2 linked regions of the Lonchura striata genome follow. The protein of the gene in region 2 purifies or fractionates together with the protein of the main gene of each other region. This does not show direct contact. Links are inferred from orthologs where the notes say so. Each region holds a gene or a part of one and is shown on either strand. Other genes may lie near its edges.

What was found. The genes of interacting proteins can lie anywhere in the genome.
Region 1: the proteins of PRDX1 (region 2) and thioredoxin purify together in Homo sapiens (affinity purification with western blotting; 3 studies listed by BioGRID, with this or other methods). This does not show direct contact. The link is inferred for Lonchura striata from reciprocal best matches to the Homo sapiens genes PRDX1 and TXN.

The regions. Positions count from the first base shown.
Region 1 is NC_134642.1:61,378,524-61,386,276, forward strand, and holds the start of thioredoxin, read left to right. Parts: upstream 1-4,736; 5' UTR 4,737-4,875; coding exon 4,876-4,899; intron 4,900-7,753. UniProt on the Homo sapiens protein: Participates in various redox reactions through the reversible oxidation of its active center dithiol to a disulfide and catalyzes dithiol-disulfide exchange reactions.
Region 2 is NC_134611.1:13,332,573-13,340,164, forward strand, and holds the start of PRDX1 (peroxiredoxin-1), read left to right. Parts: upstream 1-4,582; 5' UTR 4,583-4,681; intron 4,682-7,394; 5' UTR 7,395-7,405; coding exon 7,406-7,511; intron 7,512-7,592. UniProt on the Homo sapiens protein: Thiol-specific peroxidase that catalyzes the reduction of hydrogen peroxide and organic hydroperoxides to water and alcohols, respectively.

The sequences.
Region 1 (7,753 bases), on a different chromosome or scaffold from region 2:
CATGTGTATCTCCACATGTTCTGAAACATCAGTGTTTGTCTATTGTCAGGCCAAATCAGCAGATACTGTCCCCCAGACAAAATGTTATGAAAATGCACATGTCCCAAAAAAGCAAAAATATCTCATCTCCTCTCCAGGAGTCTCCTGATCTCCCATTCTGCAGATGTTCAGCACAAGCACAGCGACCACAAAGTGCTAAATTTCAGCTTCATGCTTTGGCACAACCTTGAAATTCTCTTTTCCTCTTTGTCCACTGCCGTCCTCAAGGCCAAGAGCCTTGTAATACCCTCCTGCAGCCCAAAGAGTCTTGCTTCTGTGTAGTAGCAGGGGACATTTGGACAGACAGATTCAGCATCATTCCCTAGGAAAATGAAGGATCCCCTAAAAAATATGTGGTTCTCTAGGGAAAAAAAAAAAAAAAAGACACAACATGTATTGTAGAAAAAAAAATGCAGATCTGCTTGCTCTAGACTGCTCTGCTACCCAAGGAAGAACAGAGGCTGAGAGCATGGAGGAGATGACTGAGTTTGAGACACTTAAGGCAAATACATGTGTTTGTCTTGACATGAGGCCTGAAGTGTCTCGATAACAGAGAGTGCATATAAGCATTCCCATGTTCACAGACCTCCTGTCAGGGTACCTTCCTTTGTGGAGACCCACAACATGGCATAAACCCAGGTGAGCTCACAGAAGCTTTCTTTAAAAAACAGGTTCCTTCTAATACAAGTCCAAAAAGTAGTAGCTTCATCAGTTCTGGACTGTTTTGAAATTCTTTTCTCCAAAGATTCAAAAATGAAGCAAAAATGAGGGAAGGGAACATGTATGTAAGGGAAGTGACTTGGATGTTTTCTTGATTCTCAGAAGGGCTTTGTTAACCAACATACCCCCATGGTAAGGGGAGATGAACTGCGGTCAAGATCTTTATTTCCCTTTTTTTCCCCCACATTTTACTCAGCTTCTCTCTTTTTTAATCATACATGCTACACCAAGCATTCAAAAGACTCTAGGCAATTACATCTGCAGTACATCAGCCTGCAAGAGAGAAAGAAGTATGTTTCCTCTGTGACTTATGCTGGCACAACACCAAGCACACCTATCCAATTATTAAACATTTATTGCACCTTTAATACATGAGTTACAAAAGCAAAATCCTCCAGAAGGGCAGGCTGGAAGGAAAGGGAAAGTACAATTAAAGGTTGCTGCCCTGTTGCAATGTCAGGGCCAGATGTTACACTCTCAATTTACATTGCAAGACAATGGCAAATAACCTGGCCTTCCTATGGTAAAATCTGATGCTCCTATGGCTGGAGTTGTTGCCTCTAGCAGCTGCCTCATTTCTGCAGCTGGATGCACCATTTTGTAATGTTGGACATGACTGACCATCTGTGCCATGGCTGTAGTATTATTATCCTTGTAGCTGTGCCTTTTATTGAATGACACATTTGAGAGGTCAGGACACTTAAGAGTGGTTTTAGGAGACAGAAGTTTTTCTTAGATATGCTCATGGATGTGCAGTTGCAGACCTACAGCCTACCTTGGGTCTCACCACGCCATGGCATTCCTCCATCCACCAACATGCACTGGCATACAAAGAAAAGAAAAAGCAAGCCCTGGAAAGGTAATTCATGGTCCCAAAGCCTTTAAACTACAGATCTGGAAAGCCATGTGGAGCTGGGGGGGCATCACACCGGGACCGTGTGTCACAGCTCTGGCTCATTCATCCAGAGGGACACCATGATTTACAACCTGCCTTGCTGGTCATCCTGTCAGGGATTACTGCTGCTCACCTTTTCTACCCTCCTTCCCACCTCTCCCAGCAGCTCAGAAGGAACTGAAACTGTAATTTGCTCAGCCTCCCAAAACCCTACTGCATGTCAGACCCTGAGCACACCCCGAGTTCACCTCCAGGGTGAAGCTCTTTCCTACTGCTGGCCCATGTTGCTCTCACCTAACAGGTGACATCAAACAACACAAACAAAGCCCAAAAAATAAAGGATGCCTTCCACCACAGGAGCTTTAAAGGTGACTAAAACAACACAAATTGAATTCCCACCTGGATGTTTGTGATGACTGTGGCATAGCATGAGCTCTCCAAAAATACAGTCCTTTTTACTGGCCTACACCTAAGTGGTACTGATTAATTCACTTGAGGGCACCTAAATTTAGACCTTCTGACTTCCTCTCCCACATGTTTTGCACACATCCAAGGAGCGTGGCAAAGATATACTCAGTTATAGTGCATGGGTGGCTCAGTCATTTCTCTATGTCTCCAGACTTTCTGCAAGAGAAACTATCTAGGGACTAATTTTTGAAAGTTACATTGCCTTTTCACTCTGCCCCTCCTCAGACCACATTTTCTGACTTCCAGAAGCAAGCAAACACACCCTCCTGAATGTCTTTAAGTGCTTCCTCATTCTCTGTCAGCCCAGATTTGCAAAGAGCCATCTACTGGCCACCGTCCTACCCAGTGACTCCTGGGTATGACACATCATACAGCAGTCTGCTGAATCATGAAATTCACGTGATTTTCAACTTCTCCACAGCCAACTTGCATATTTTTAACATCCACTCTCCAGCAGCCTGGGGGAGAGAAGTATGTTGCATTTGTGGTTGTGAGGAAAGTGGGTGGGAGTGAGGGCACCTGAGAAGCTGAGGCTCCTATGGATGAGTGACTGTGTACATGGGACAGCCACAGCATTGCTGAGCTAAACAATGAGATATTCCACAGTTTAAAAAAACAAAACACCCATTTAGAGGATACACATTGCTCTGTAGCATTTTTATTATGTGCTGTCATGATAGTAATTACAACAATTTAAGAATCAAGCACAGATCACATATATTATATTACTGTCCAGTTATTTTAGGCATCCATACAACAATCATACAGCAACATTTTGAACTTCAAACTGCTGTATGCCTAAGCCTGTTAAGTCAAGTGACTGTGAGCACAGCAAGAGATGAGTGGCCACATATGGCACCTAAGAAAAGACACACTTTTCCTTCTAGTTTAGAGAGGGTTTACCCACCCACACTTGCCTTTAGAAGGCTGTTGGTTTCTAAGAATTTATTGTTTGGGTGGGTTGTTCCCTGCATTTGCTTGCACTGGCTTCTGCAAGAGCCACATAATGCTTGGCTGAGGTGGGGAATTCAGGAGTTGGACTTTGAAAGTAGTCTGGGCTTCTTAATTTATCCTGCCAGGCCGCAGGTTGTAGAGAAAGGTGCCTTGGCTGATGAGGAATTCCTGCTTTCTTCTGAGCAGCAGCTGCACCTCCCCAAAGCAGCACAGGACACATGTACCAGTTGTGTTTGTCAGCCACAAGGCACATGGACACAAGGGCAGCAGGGACCAGCTGGAGGAAGCTGGATGAAAATACAAAAGCCAACAGAAACCACTAAGCCTTCATGGTGCTGCTTCTCACCCACTGGCATCCTGGCTCCTCTAGTGATGCTGCCAAAGAAAAAAAAGGAGATGCTCATGGTATCTAACAGGTGGGGGAAGAAGCAGAAAGAGCAGCAATCAAAGTGTTTCAGGCAGACAAAACCTATCAGGTCTGGAAAGATATAGACAGGGGATGCAACCATAGGGCCAGAAAAGAGCTTACTAGTTTTCCTGCAGTAGTATGACACACACTTAATAAACTTCCAAAATAAAAAATTACTTACTCAGTTTCTACCACAAGTAAAGCAACATATGAGGGCATATCCTGTTGGGATGGGTTGGTACCTGTATCCAAGGCAAACTGTCTTTTGTTTTCTTTTTCTTTTCAAGAAAGAACTGTATTTCTTTTTTTATCCAGGACCTGCACTAAGTCTTCTCACCTTCTGCTCAGGTGTATCCCAGAGCAAACTTTCACAGGCTGCTAACCCAGCTGCTAAAACCTGCAGAAACAGCCCGTTCGTGACACAGCTGGCACCAATATCCCAACACCTAACCTTTCCTGGGTCCCGTGCAGTAGGAACTGGAGTCAGCAACGTCCAGAGTCCAACATTAAACCCTACCAGCCCAACAGAAGGAGAACAGGGCTGTGGCAGGCCTGTTTTGCACTGTGGGGTGAGCTGTGGCACAGCTTGCGATGAAACAAGGGACGTCTCCAAAACACAGAGAAAAAAACCAAGATGGATGGAACTTGTAGGTTCCACCAGAGAACCCCCTCGGATGGGAACGCTAAGCTATTCCCTTGAGGAGTCTTTCTGGCTGAGTCCCTGCATGAGGGGAGCTACGGGAGGCGGTCAGAGTTTAACCCCGGGTTAAACACCGCAGCCTTCCGCGCTGCACAAGGGCCCACATCCCACAGAGCAAGGGCGCCACTCCCTGCTTTTGGTGGTGGGAAGGAAAACAACAAGGGAAAAAAAGTAACAAGGAAAAAAATATTCCCGTCATTTATTCCTGCCTTCCACTCTGCCCGCATTACGGGCAACACCAGCTCCCTTTCTCGTAAGGCGAGCAAAACGCCGCGTCAGACAGAGCCGCTCCCCGCGGGGACGTGATGGGGGGGGGGGGGGGGGGAGGGGGAGGGGCCAAGCAACTTCCTGCTCATCGTTACACAGCACTTTTCCAACCTCCTTGGGCTTTCTTTCTTCCGCTGCTGCTGCCGGTTCCCCCGGCAGCCGGCAGGGACGCACGCTCCCCTCCCGGGCCGCCGCCCCTCAGCGGGGCCCCAGCGGCGCCGCGGGCAGCGGCAGCGCCAGGAGGCGGGTCGCCCCTGCGCATGCGCGGCGCGGCGCCGTGCTGGGCATAAAAGGGCGGCCGGGGCGGGCCGGAGACGCGCTGGGACGGCGGGAGGCAAGGCGGGAAGCTGAGCCTTGTGTGGCGACGAATCCCTTGGTTCCTTGCCTTTACAGCACCGACTCTCCTTTCCCACCGTCGCCGCCATGGTGAAGATCGTGAGCAGCCTGGTGAGCCCGATGGGCGAGGCGGTCGTGTCGTTTCGCCGTGAGAGCGGCGCCCGGCGGGACGAGCATCATCGCCCGGCGGGCGGGCGGGCGGGCGGGGATTAGCAGTGCCCGGCGCGGTTTGGCCGGCGGGGGATCGTGCTCGGGCTGCCCCGGGCCCTCGAGGGCCCGCGGGAGATGGCGGCTGCGAGCCCGTGTGCTGCCCGGGCAGGCGGAGCCTGCTTCGCCCATGCGGCGCGGCCGGGGGAAGCCGCGCGGAGGGCTCGGCCGGGGCAGGGTTGGGAACTAATAACTGCGGACCTGAGGCTTCGGGGAGTCGGAGTGAGCGGGGACGTGATGCAGTCTCGCCTTATGACGGGCTGTTCATCGCTCTTTTAAGGAAAAGGTTTCGTTTCTCAAGCGGATAGCAGGGCACTACAGCGACAGGCGGAGAGAACGCAGTCTTAAGCTGCGTCAAAGGAGGTTTAGGTTGGACATAAGGATGAATTTCTTAAAAGACAGGGTGATTTGGCGTTGGGGTACGCTTCACAGGGAAGTGGTTGAGTCACTGTCCTCGCAGATGTTTAAAGAACTCGACATGGCGCTGAGTGCCATGGTCTGGTTGACAGTGTGGTGTTGGGTCACATCTCGGACTCGATGATCTCGGGGGTCTTTTCCAACCTAACTGATTTTGTGATATAGTATCTTGATTTGGCAGTTCTGATTTGTTTTATGTACTGCTAGTGTGTAGGGGACTAGGTGGCTTTCTTAGAGTTTGGCCTGTTGCACTTCTGGGGAGGACATCGTGCAAGAGTTCATCCATTCTTGACTTGAAAGGAACTGCTAGAGCCCATTCCCCGTGCTTAAACAGCAGGAGTTGCTGGCATAAGAAGTATTTCCCTTGTTATGGTGCTGTCTGTTGTATTCACAACCCTAATGCAGCACATCACTGTTTGGATGATTCTGTGAATACAAACACATCTGTGGCTCTGAGATAGAAAGTAGTAATAAAGCCTAGACACATGGAGAATATCCTGCTGGTGATGAAATAGTATGTGGTTTTGTGCACAGCAGCTGATCTGGTTGATAGACAACAATAGAGTACTTGTTAGCTGTAACTTAGGAACCCAAGTCTCGAAAAATATTCTCCATGCAAACTTAGCAAGTTCTTAATTTCAGGAAAAATCCTGTTGGGCTAGTCTCACCCTTTTGAACTTGGAATCTGGTGCAAATGTCAGTTTGATCTCATTTTTGAGGCATCTGCAAGTGATGGTGTGTGGGTATCCTGTAAGGCCCCAAAAAGTCGCTCAGCAAGATCTTTAACAGGGCTTACAGTTAACAGGTCTTTGACAGGGCTCATTTACTCTGAGTTAGACACGGGAGAAATACTGTCAAGATATTCTCAAGAGGTCAAAAAAGACTTTACTGGCAACTTTAGAAAATCAAAGAACTTTGGCAAAAGGTTTTGTGTAACATTCAGTTAACATAAAACACTTCCCAAAGCATTAACTTAGCCCATTCAACTTGGCAAGCTCTAAACGTGTTTGATTTCAAGTCACTCAAAAATTATGAGAGGAGAGACTTAGAAGAAAAAGATAGAAGAGATATTAAAAAGGGCACATACAGCTACTAACTGCTGGGTTCTAGCAGTGTTCAGCTGATAGAAATTCCAAGAGGAGGCAGGGTCAAGACATATGCTTGCAGCATGTTTGGCCTTAAGTGCCCCTTGCCTATAGCGTGCCCATGGTTGGTGGTCACTGTCTGGGAGAAAGGCTCTAGGGATGCGGGTGTGCACTGCCTCACCAGAGCAAGGTCTGATCTGCCCCTTCCCCCACACATTTGCACCTCAAAATGTTTTGAGACCTCAGTCTTTCCAGTCTCTCAAACATCCAAGTTTGTTTTCTAGGCCGTGCTCTTCTACAGTCAGTTCGCTTTATATATGAAAGGCATGTCAAACCTCTCCCACTGGACCGCAAATTGTTGGAATCTGATACATAAATATACAAATTAACACTTGTGACCACAGCTCAAAAGCAGGTGAATGCACAAACCTCCTTAAGAGGAATGAAATGCCTTACCATTTCAGGTTCTGAAGAGAGAATGGTGTGTGACTACAACCTAGAATTGTTCTGCTTTGTATCTCTTCCCCCTTCTCTGTCTATGGTGCCACAGAAGGGGCAAACTTTTGGTGTAAGGGTGTAACAGATTAAACATGGCAAGTCAAACCTGGCTCTGGAGGAGGAGCCTACTCTTTAGGCAGGCTTTCACTATCCTCCTAGCTATGAGTGTTGTTTAACAGTCTGCTGTAGCTAAAGCGAACTTTGGTTTTGCATTCATGGACAGTGTGAACTCGGCAGTCATGCTGACAACAGCATTTTAACCTCGGTGACACCCAGAGTATTCAAGTGCAGTGCAGCTGGGATTTCTGGATTAATTCTGGTTTTCAGTAAAGCAGGTTTGTATTATTCTCTGATACAAAGGGTAAAAACCCATTCTTGCACTGTCTGCAAGAGCTTCTATGAGTGAGAGCTAGGTAGGTGTGGCCCTTTTCCCTGCACACCTCCTCAGAAGGAGACTGGCTTCTGAAGAATGTCTACTTTCAGGGTGCCTGACTGTTCCTTCTGTAGTACCTGCTATAGCACAGAAGGAGATGTATTGTTACTGTTTTTTAGTGGCCTTGAGGTGAGTGACTAGTGTAATTTGTAAGAGGGTTTGACTATGGGACATACTGCTTTTTATAGCCAAAGCTAATGGGGTGTATAAAATTAAAAAGCTGCCAAAGCTTTTCTCTTCATTCTAGCTGCCTCTCTTGTTATTTAAGTTAAAGAAGATGCTGAAAAATTGCAGCTTTTGCTGTAAGTGATAATTTTAGAGGTGG
Region 2 (7,592 bases):
TAGCCTCTGGAAGAATGGAACACATCAGAATGGCAGACACTGGAAAAATATGTTAATTAATACTTTCCACTCAGATTCTTCCCTAAAATAGAGGATTTAGGAGAATGACATTTATGATGCTAGCCATAATTATTCAGTTCATTAAAAAGCTGAAAACCTCTTCTTTGAAGGGCAGAGATAAGGAAAAACATAAAAGGAAACTAAATCTGGAGAAGTAAGATATGGTGATGCCTTAACATCACCAACCTACTGCCACATTCACATAAAAGGATTAAAGCTCAGAGTAATTCAAGGACATTGTGGCTAAGAGGTGTATCAATAACCACAATAATGCAAACCACCCCGGTCCATCAACCCACAGCTACAGCTCTGTTTTAACTTAAAGCAACGAGTCTTTCAGCAGCTATGCATACTATTAATACGTATAGCTATGCAAACAGGTACATATTGGCGATACTTAAGCCGCTGTAACCGAGCAGCTCCCGCCGCACAGATCGGGGATAACCCCTCTCCATTCCGGCTCCCCTGCAGAGGCCGAGTGCGCCCACCTGCCCCTTATCGGGGCGGCGCAGGGCGGGCCCGCGCGGCGCGGGGCGCTGCAGGGGCGATAAGGGGCGCCGCCGCTCCCGCACTCACCGCCGGTACCGAGCGCCGCTCCCGCCGCTCCTGAGGCTGCTGCCCCCGCTGCTGCCCGGCCCTTCCGCTTCCGCCGCCAGCGGGCCGCGGGCTGGGGCGGCGCGGCTGCCCCTGGCGGGTTCAAATGTGGAAGTCCATTAAAGTCTGTCAGTGGGGGTTTAGCGGGGCTGAGCTGCCCTCACGGCCCTGCCCCCGGCCGGGCTCCCCGGCACCGACCCGCTCCTGTTACTGCTCGGGTTTGCCCCGCTGGTGTCCTGGGCCTCCCGGCCCGGGTCCCGGGGAGCTCAGGCAGCCCAGCCTCGCCGCTCCCGCCCAGCGGTGAAGTGATGCATGCGATGAGCTGCACCGCACGGGGGGGACAGACAAAAGATGACCCCGGCCCATAAATTTGACAAGAAGCGTTTGCATTTCCCTGGCTGCTGTTTGTCGCGGCCTCTTGAAGCTATTTCTACTTGTAGGAAGACCGAATATACCCAGTTTTATTTGCAGACCTAAATAACAGGAATCAAGGGAAAGTGAAAGGCCGGTTGCACTCGTTTTGCTTCACCTTTTGCACTCTAAGGTGTATAGAGAAGTCGCACTTTCCGAGAAAGCCGGGGTTTCTCTCCTTGCAGATGGCCAGGAATTCATTTCCTTGTTTGCTCGGGACCGCAGTGAGATTAAAGCAGGCTCATTCAGCTGAGCGCTTTCACTGCTGGGCAGGGACAGCCCTGCTGCTGCCAAATCAAAGCCTTCTGCTGGAGCAGACTTTGGCCTCTAATCGAGAATCAACTGTGCACCCAATCTTAAACACAACTTAAAACAGATAATCACTTCTGACTATTACTCCAAAAAAGGATCCCATCTTTACAAGCAATTTATAAACGTTCAGAACTTAGAGTAAGATTAGATCAGAAATAAGGCAATTGATACCTCTGGTGAGCCTCTTGAAGAACCTCTTACTTATTTCCAGAAAGAAGAATCTGCAGCAGATTTAGTCTTTTCTGTTCTGACTTGAACTGCTCAGGAGACTTAAAGGCACAAAGGTCAGTTAATCTCTTGGGCATGCATGTGACCAGATTTTCATGCTGCACAGCCTGTTTTGACAAAATAAGGGAAAGTGGAAGAAAAGTGCAAGGACAAGACAATTATAAGTAACAGGAGTCGGGAAATGAAAGAATAAAGGGGGAGGAATCACTGCTGATTTTGATTTATTTTTATGAAGACCCTGGCAAACACATCCATTTGAAAGTCCACAATCTTCAAGCAAAAGAAGATGCTTGAATTATGTAAATCTCACATATGAAAACTTTAACAAACCTTAGCCTCCAGCAATGTAATAGGGGAGTAAAAGAGAAAAGGTAAGGAAGACTGAAAAATTTTGTAATCAAAAGGCAGTGGTTATCCAAACATACAGTAATAGCCTGCTAATTGAAAAAAAATCAGAGAAGAGGTAATTTTGACCTAGAAATAGGTCAAAAACTTGATTCAAACAAGGAAAGCTATGTGTATTGTATATTTAATGGCATGCAGTTGTTTTCATTAAAATGATTGTGCACCAGCTGCTTGTGCATAAATGCCCCATGGAACTTGTTAGTTGCTGACTTGTTAGCTGACTTTCTGCACACATTAAATTAAATAGTCCCCACATGGCCAGGACTTGACTCTGACTGTGCCTCTGGTAGTACCATGTGTATGTAGGAGGTTTGGTATATTCAGGACTCAGTGGACTTTTGGCACATGCAGTGATGAACTCCACAGGGAATGTGTGAGGGTGTCCCAGTGTGCTGGCTTTTGAGGGCATGCAGGGACTACCTCTGCTGTGTGCCCCAGGGGCATGCCTAGTGTTGCCAAATCCATTACTATTCCAGCCAAATTTATCTTATTCTGGAAATCTTTGATACTCTTACACAAAACTATTCTCAAATGCATGGAAACCCAAACGTGTGGTAACGTTTTGAAACAGGTCCAGTTTCTTTGCCTTTCTTTTTACACACAGCAGGGCATTTGTTTTTTCACATCAGGGGCCCATTCCCAACCAAGATACATGAGAGATACTGTAATCAAAATGATGGATGTGAAAGCTAGTTTGGCTCCCAGTTTGGGTAGTTTCAGTGCTCTGGCACTGCAGGGCCTGCCAGCTCCTCTTTGTTGATAGATGAAGTACTTATTGTGTCCCTGTCGGAGTGGCTGGGTGCAGAGAGGCCTGCACTGGGCTCTGATGCTCCATGCTAATCAGGTACAAGCTGATCCTGTCTGGCAGCTATTTTATCAGTACAGGACAGCACAGTTACACTGCTGTGTGGAGAGAACTCCATCCTTCCAGCACCTGCGGGGGTAGACTTGCCCTTTCTTTCCTGGAAAACATGATTGTTTTAATCTAAGTAGCATCCTACATCTAAAGGTTGAGAAAGGCTACAGAAACCCAGGTGCTCACTGAACAAGAAGTGGCCCTGACAATTTATTATTCCAAAACCTCCAAAAACTGACATCTGGAAAGACAAGCTCAGAAATTAATCAAAAGTAATGAGGCCATAGACATCTGAATGGAAAGGCAATGCTTACAGCACAAACCTGGAACAACCTGCAGACCATACTGGGTATATTGTGCATCTGAAATTATGAGAAATCAGCATAACAAGCATTGAAGGAGTCAGAAACCACGAGAAAGTCATGATTACTTTGTCCATTTGTAAACATGCCAGCGTTGCAGTGGCACTACATTGTTCTGGAGGCTTTAATTAGAACTGCCTGACCTTTCAGGAGTTAATCTGTTCACAGGCTCATTGGCCTGAGGCGATGGAGAAGTATATACATATCTCAATATATAGACCTCAATTCTCAGTGCTGATGTTAAGAAAGTAAACTTCTTCCTGTAAAAGATTAAGCATGCTATAGCAATAGAAGTAGATAAATTAGTTGCATGGAAGTGAGTGCAGATTTTTTCCTGAGTACATATATGCATGTTATTTGCTTTCAGTATTCATTAAGGATTAAGTTCATCTGGTCCCAAAATGAGTCATCTCTGGGTGAACCACCACAACGGTATAGTTACCCAGCAACACTGCACAGTGATCTTGACTATAAACCTTTAAAGTTTGTTAATCCTTTGTGGTTTTCTCCTCATCAATATTTATAATCAAGTTTTAAAAAATATAAGAAGCACAACTGTAAACTGCAAAACAGATGAGTAAAAATCAGTTGGTGAGCACATTTATCACTTTTGACAGAAGCAAGCATTTTTGTCTTTGATATGGCTTAATGGCTTTAGATATTTATTATTTAATAAAATAAATTCACATTTAAAATCAAAATTTGGCCCTTAAAAAGTACCACACTCCTTGTTCACTTTTAGATTCAAAGACAGCACTTATGTGAAATCACTGATGTTAAACATCACTCAGAGCAGCTTCACTACAGAATGATGCAAAACTCCCAAGAGTTTCCATTTTACCACTGAAGCTCAACGATTAGACTTTAAACTTAGTTTTCATCTTTCTTTTGCTGACTTGCATGACTGGGATCGGTGTTCCCATTGATGGAGAAGAATCAATGAAAGCCTTGGGACGAGTATTAGGGAGAGGGGGCAGTGGGTAATGCAGAGCGAGAGGATGGAGATTTGACACCGCACCTGTGCAACACTGCGAACACACATTGTTCTGCTCGTGAGAGGTTTCGTTTTACTTCTGTCAATGACCAACACTTAATTCACATGAATGACATGCCAGTCATCCCTTTTCCTCTCTCAAAGTCCTGCGTGCCCTCTGAGGACTTCAAATAATCATAGCTAGGTCAATTAGGGCACTAAAAACGCCATCGCTTCTTGCACCAAGCCCATCAATCGTTTATAGCCGCGGCATTGGCGATTTGCGCGGCACTTCCCGGGACTCTCTCCAGGGAAGGATCTGCCAAGTCATGCTGCCCTGGCAGGCGCGGCCGCGCTCCCCTCCCCGCGCGTCCGCTCGCGAGATCGCGCCGCTATAAAGGGGGCGGCGCGGCGGGGCTGCGGCAGAGCGGGCCGGGCGGAGCGGCTGCTGTGAGCGGATCGGCGCTGCGCTGCGAGTGAGTGAGTGTGCGGGGCTCTGGGGGCTGCTGCGGGCTCTGCACAGTGTTTTGGGCTTTTTTAAAATTTAATTTTATTTTTGTGTGGTTTTTGTTACTGCTTTGGGTGGGTTTTTTGTTCGCTTTCCCCTCCCCCTCTGCTCAGATGCGCGCTTGAACGAGGCGCGTGGGGCGAGCCCTTTCTCCCCGCGTCCCGCTCCCGAAGGATCGCTGCCGCCTGAACCGCCGTGTTCAGTTTCCCCTGGTTTTGGTTTGGGCTTTTTTTGGCGGGGAGAGCGAGCAGAGAAGTCGTTCCAACGCTCCGGCCTTTATCAGCGCTGCGCGGGGCGGAGCCGCGGGCGGGGAGCGCGCAGGGCGCCCGCAGGGAGCCGAGCGGCCCCTTCCCCGACAAGGAGGCGGCATCTCGCTCCTAAGCCTTAAGAAACCCCAAAGCCGAGCGCTGGCTGCGGCTCGGGGACGTGCAGGGGGCGGGTTCCCCGGTCGCAGAGCGGGGGCAGGCTCGGGGGCCGCCCCGGGGCCCCACGCGTGCCGCGGTCCGTGCGCGATGCCCGCGGTTCGGTGTCGCACCCCGAGCGCGGCCGCGGCGGCCCGACCGCGTTGTGTGACAGTCTGGAGGTGGCAGAGGGGGAGGCTGATGGCGCCTTTTGAAACGGCCTTTCGCTTTTGTTCGAGGCACCCTAAAGGTATGAAATCGCTCGCTCAAGAGAGCAGGCCTGGCTCATTATAATTGCTGTTTGAAGATAATTGAGGCCGTCTGCGGCTATGAGCAACAAAGATACTCTGGCCGGATTCGAGTGTATTTGGTTTAAGGTGCTCATTCTACTTTCCTGCAGAATGAACGGAAGTAACAATGATTCTGTGGTCTGCTCCTCTGCGGGTTAGGAAATGCTGTGGCTAAAAATCCGAGCAGAACACGCGCGGACCCCACACGGAATAGCAGAAGGGTTGGCAGATCACAGCGGGTGCTCTGAGGAAAGCACATGGCTCTCTTGAAGTGTGAGGCAACCAAAGTCTCCTGCAAATATTAAAATATTTTAATGGTACCAGAGAAAGGGGCAATAACTTGTAGTTTAGAAAGGGGAAGTATCAAAGAGCAGTCTGACCTTGAATATCTAGTGAAATACTCCAGAGAATTGCTGATGGAATAAATATAGAAGGACTGGCATAGTACTGAGCAAAAGGATGACCTTGAGCTGGGATAACAGAAAATAATGTAATTCAGTGATAAAAATGTGGGGTCATGCACTCCAGGCTGAGCAGCTCTTGCTTATAAGATAAAACTTGCTAGTTGGAGGCATCTCAAATAAATACTGTGCTGTTCCCCTGTCCCTCTTGCAGAACTGCACTTTGAGAGCCACAGCTCCATTTGTGTGTACAGGATTCTTGATGTCCTCCTGCCAGGCTACTTCACTGCATCCTACAAATGATCTCTAGTCCTGGCCACCATATTCGCTCCCAGTCTGCTGCAGTTAAAGACTAAAAACCCTCGGATGAACATGGGGATAAGGAGCTTTGTTTTACAGTTAGAAATGCTGAGTGTGTGAGCACTTCTCAAAATGGAAATAAAGAGGTGGATTATTACTGTCAGGGTGTGTAAAAGAAACTTGCAAAAGGAAACCATTTCTAAAAAGGCTAGGTGTGGGTTCAAAGCTAAATGTTTGACTTGTGGGCTAGTTCTCCAGGAAAAAAAGTGTCTGGCAAGGGGGAAGGAGCCAAGAAATGAGGTGCTCTCAACTTTTTTTAGAACGGACTTGGTGCCTTGCAGGCACAACTTGGAACAATCCTTGGCTCTTGGCTTTCCTTAGCAACATGAGAGTCATGCTAACCTTTGAGGTGTTTTTCATCTCCAAGGCAGCCAGTGCTGCAGTGTGTAGAATGAAGTGAAATAGCTTCTAAGAATATTATGTGATCTGCAGAAATTACGTTTGTAGAGTTACCTATTTGAAAGATTATGCTCTGGAAGTCTAAAGAGTTGTACTACACTCCCAGACTGAGCAAAAATACTACACGGGATGTATTGCAGATGACAAGCTTTTGGGGGAGACAGCCAGAAGTAGCATTCTTTTATCCTTGTGTACCCTTTTTTTCTTTTTCAATAGAAATAAAGGGGAAACAACCTGGCTGTACTGATTTAGACTCTGTGAAATTGTAATTAACATAGAATGTGATTTCCATGTGTGCCACGAGTTTTTCTGGTTGCAAATAAAAAAGGATTGAATTGTTCAAAAGGTTTAAGTGTAGCTATGCAGAGCAATGTTCCCTGGAGATTAACAGACGTTATTTTCTTTCAGAATCAACAGGAAGCTCAAGTTTGAGGTCTTAAATTCCCTTGTAAAATTGAACAAGGTTCTTCTCCTTGAAAATTCTGAAAAACATACTTCCTACTCTTCCACCATGTGGAATGGTATGGTTTTCTGAGTACTAGTAAAGCTCTAGGCTAGGAGTTTGCCAGACGCTGAGCTATTAGTGGTTAGATAACCACTACTGTATCTTTAGGAGGCCATGTGCCATAGATTTTGAAGTGCTGGCAGTCTCTATAGTGGTTCAACTACCCAGGTGACAAAACTCATTTAACCCCTAAGCCTTGTTTAAAGACCAAGTGCTGATAAACTGTCTTTGGTGTTTAATCTAGATTGATAAGATGCTTTGAATAAATCCTTACTTCCAGCTGCAAATGTACTGCCATCTAAACTGTATTGGTGTTGACTCCTGTCTAGGTTAAATCAAGATGTCTTCAGGAAAGGCTTTCATTGGAAAACCAGCTCCTGACTTTACTGCCACGGCTGTAATGCCAGATGGACAGTTCAAAGACATCAAGCTCTCTGACTACAAAGGTAATTTCATGTGCTTCTCTAATTACACAGATGGTCTGGCCATAGGAAGGACTGGAGGGTATCTGAAGGTGCACCTTGGTT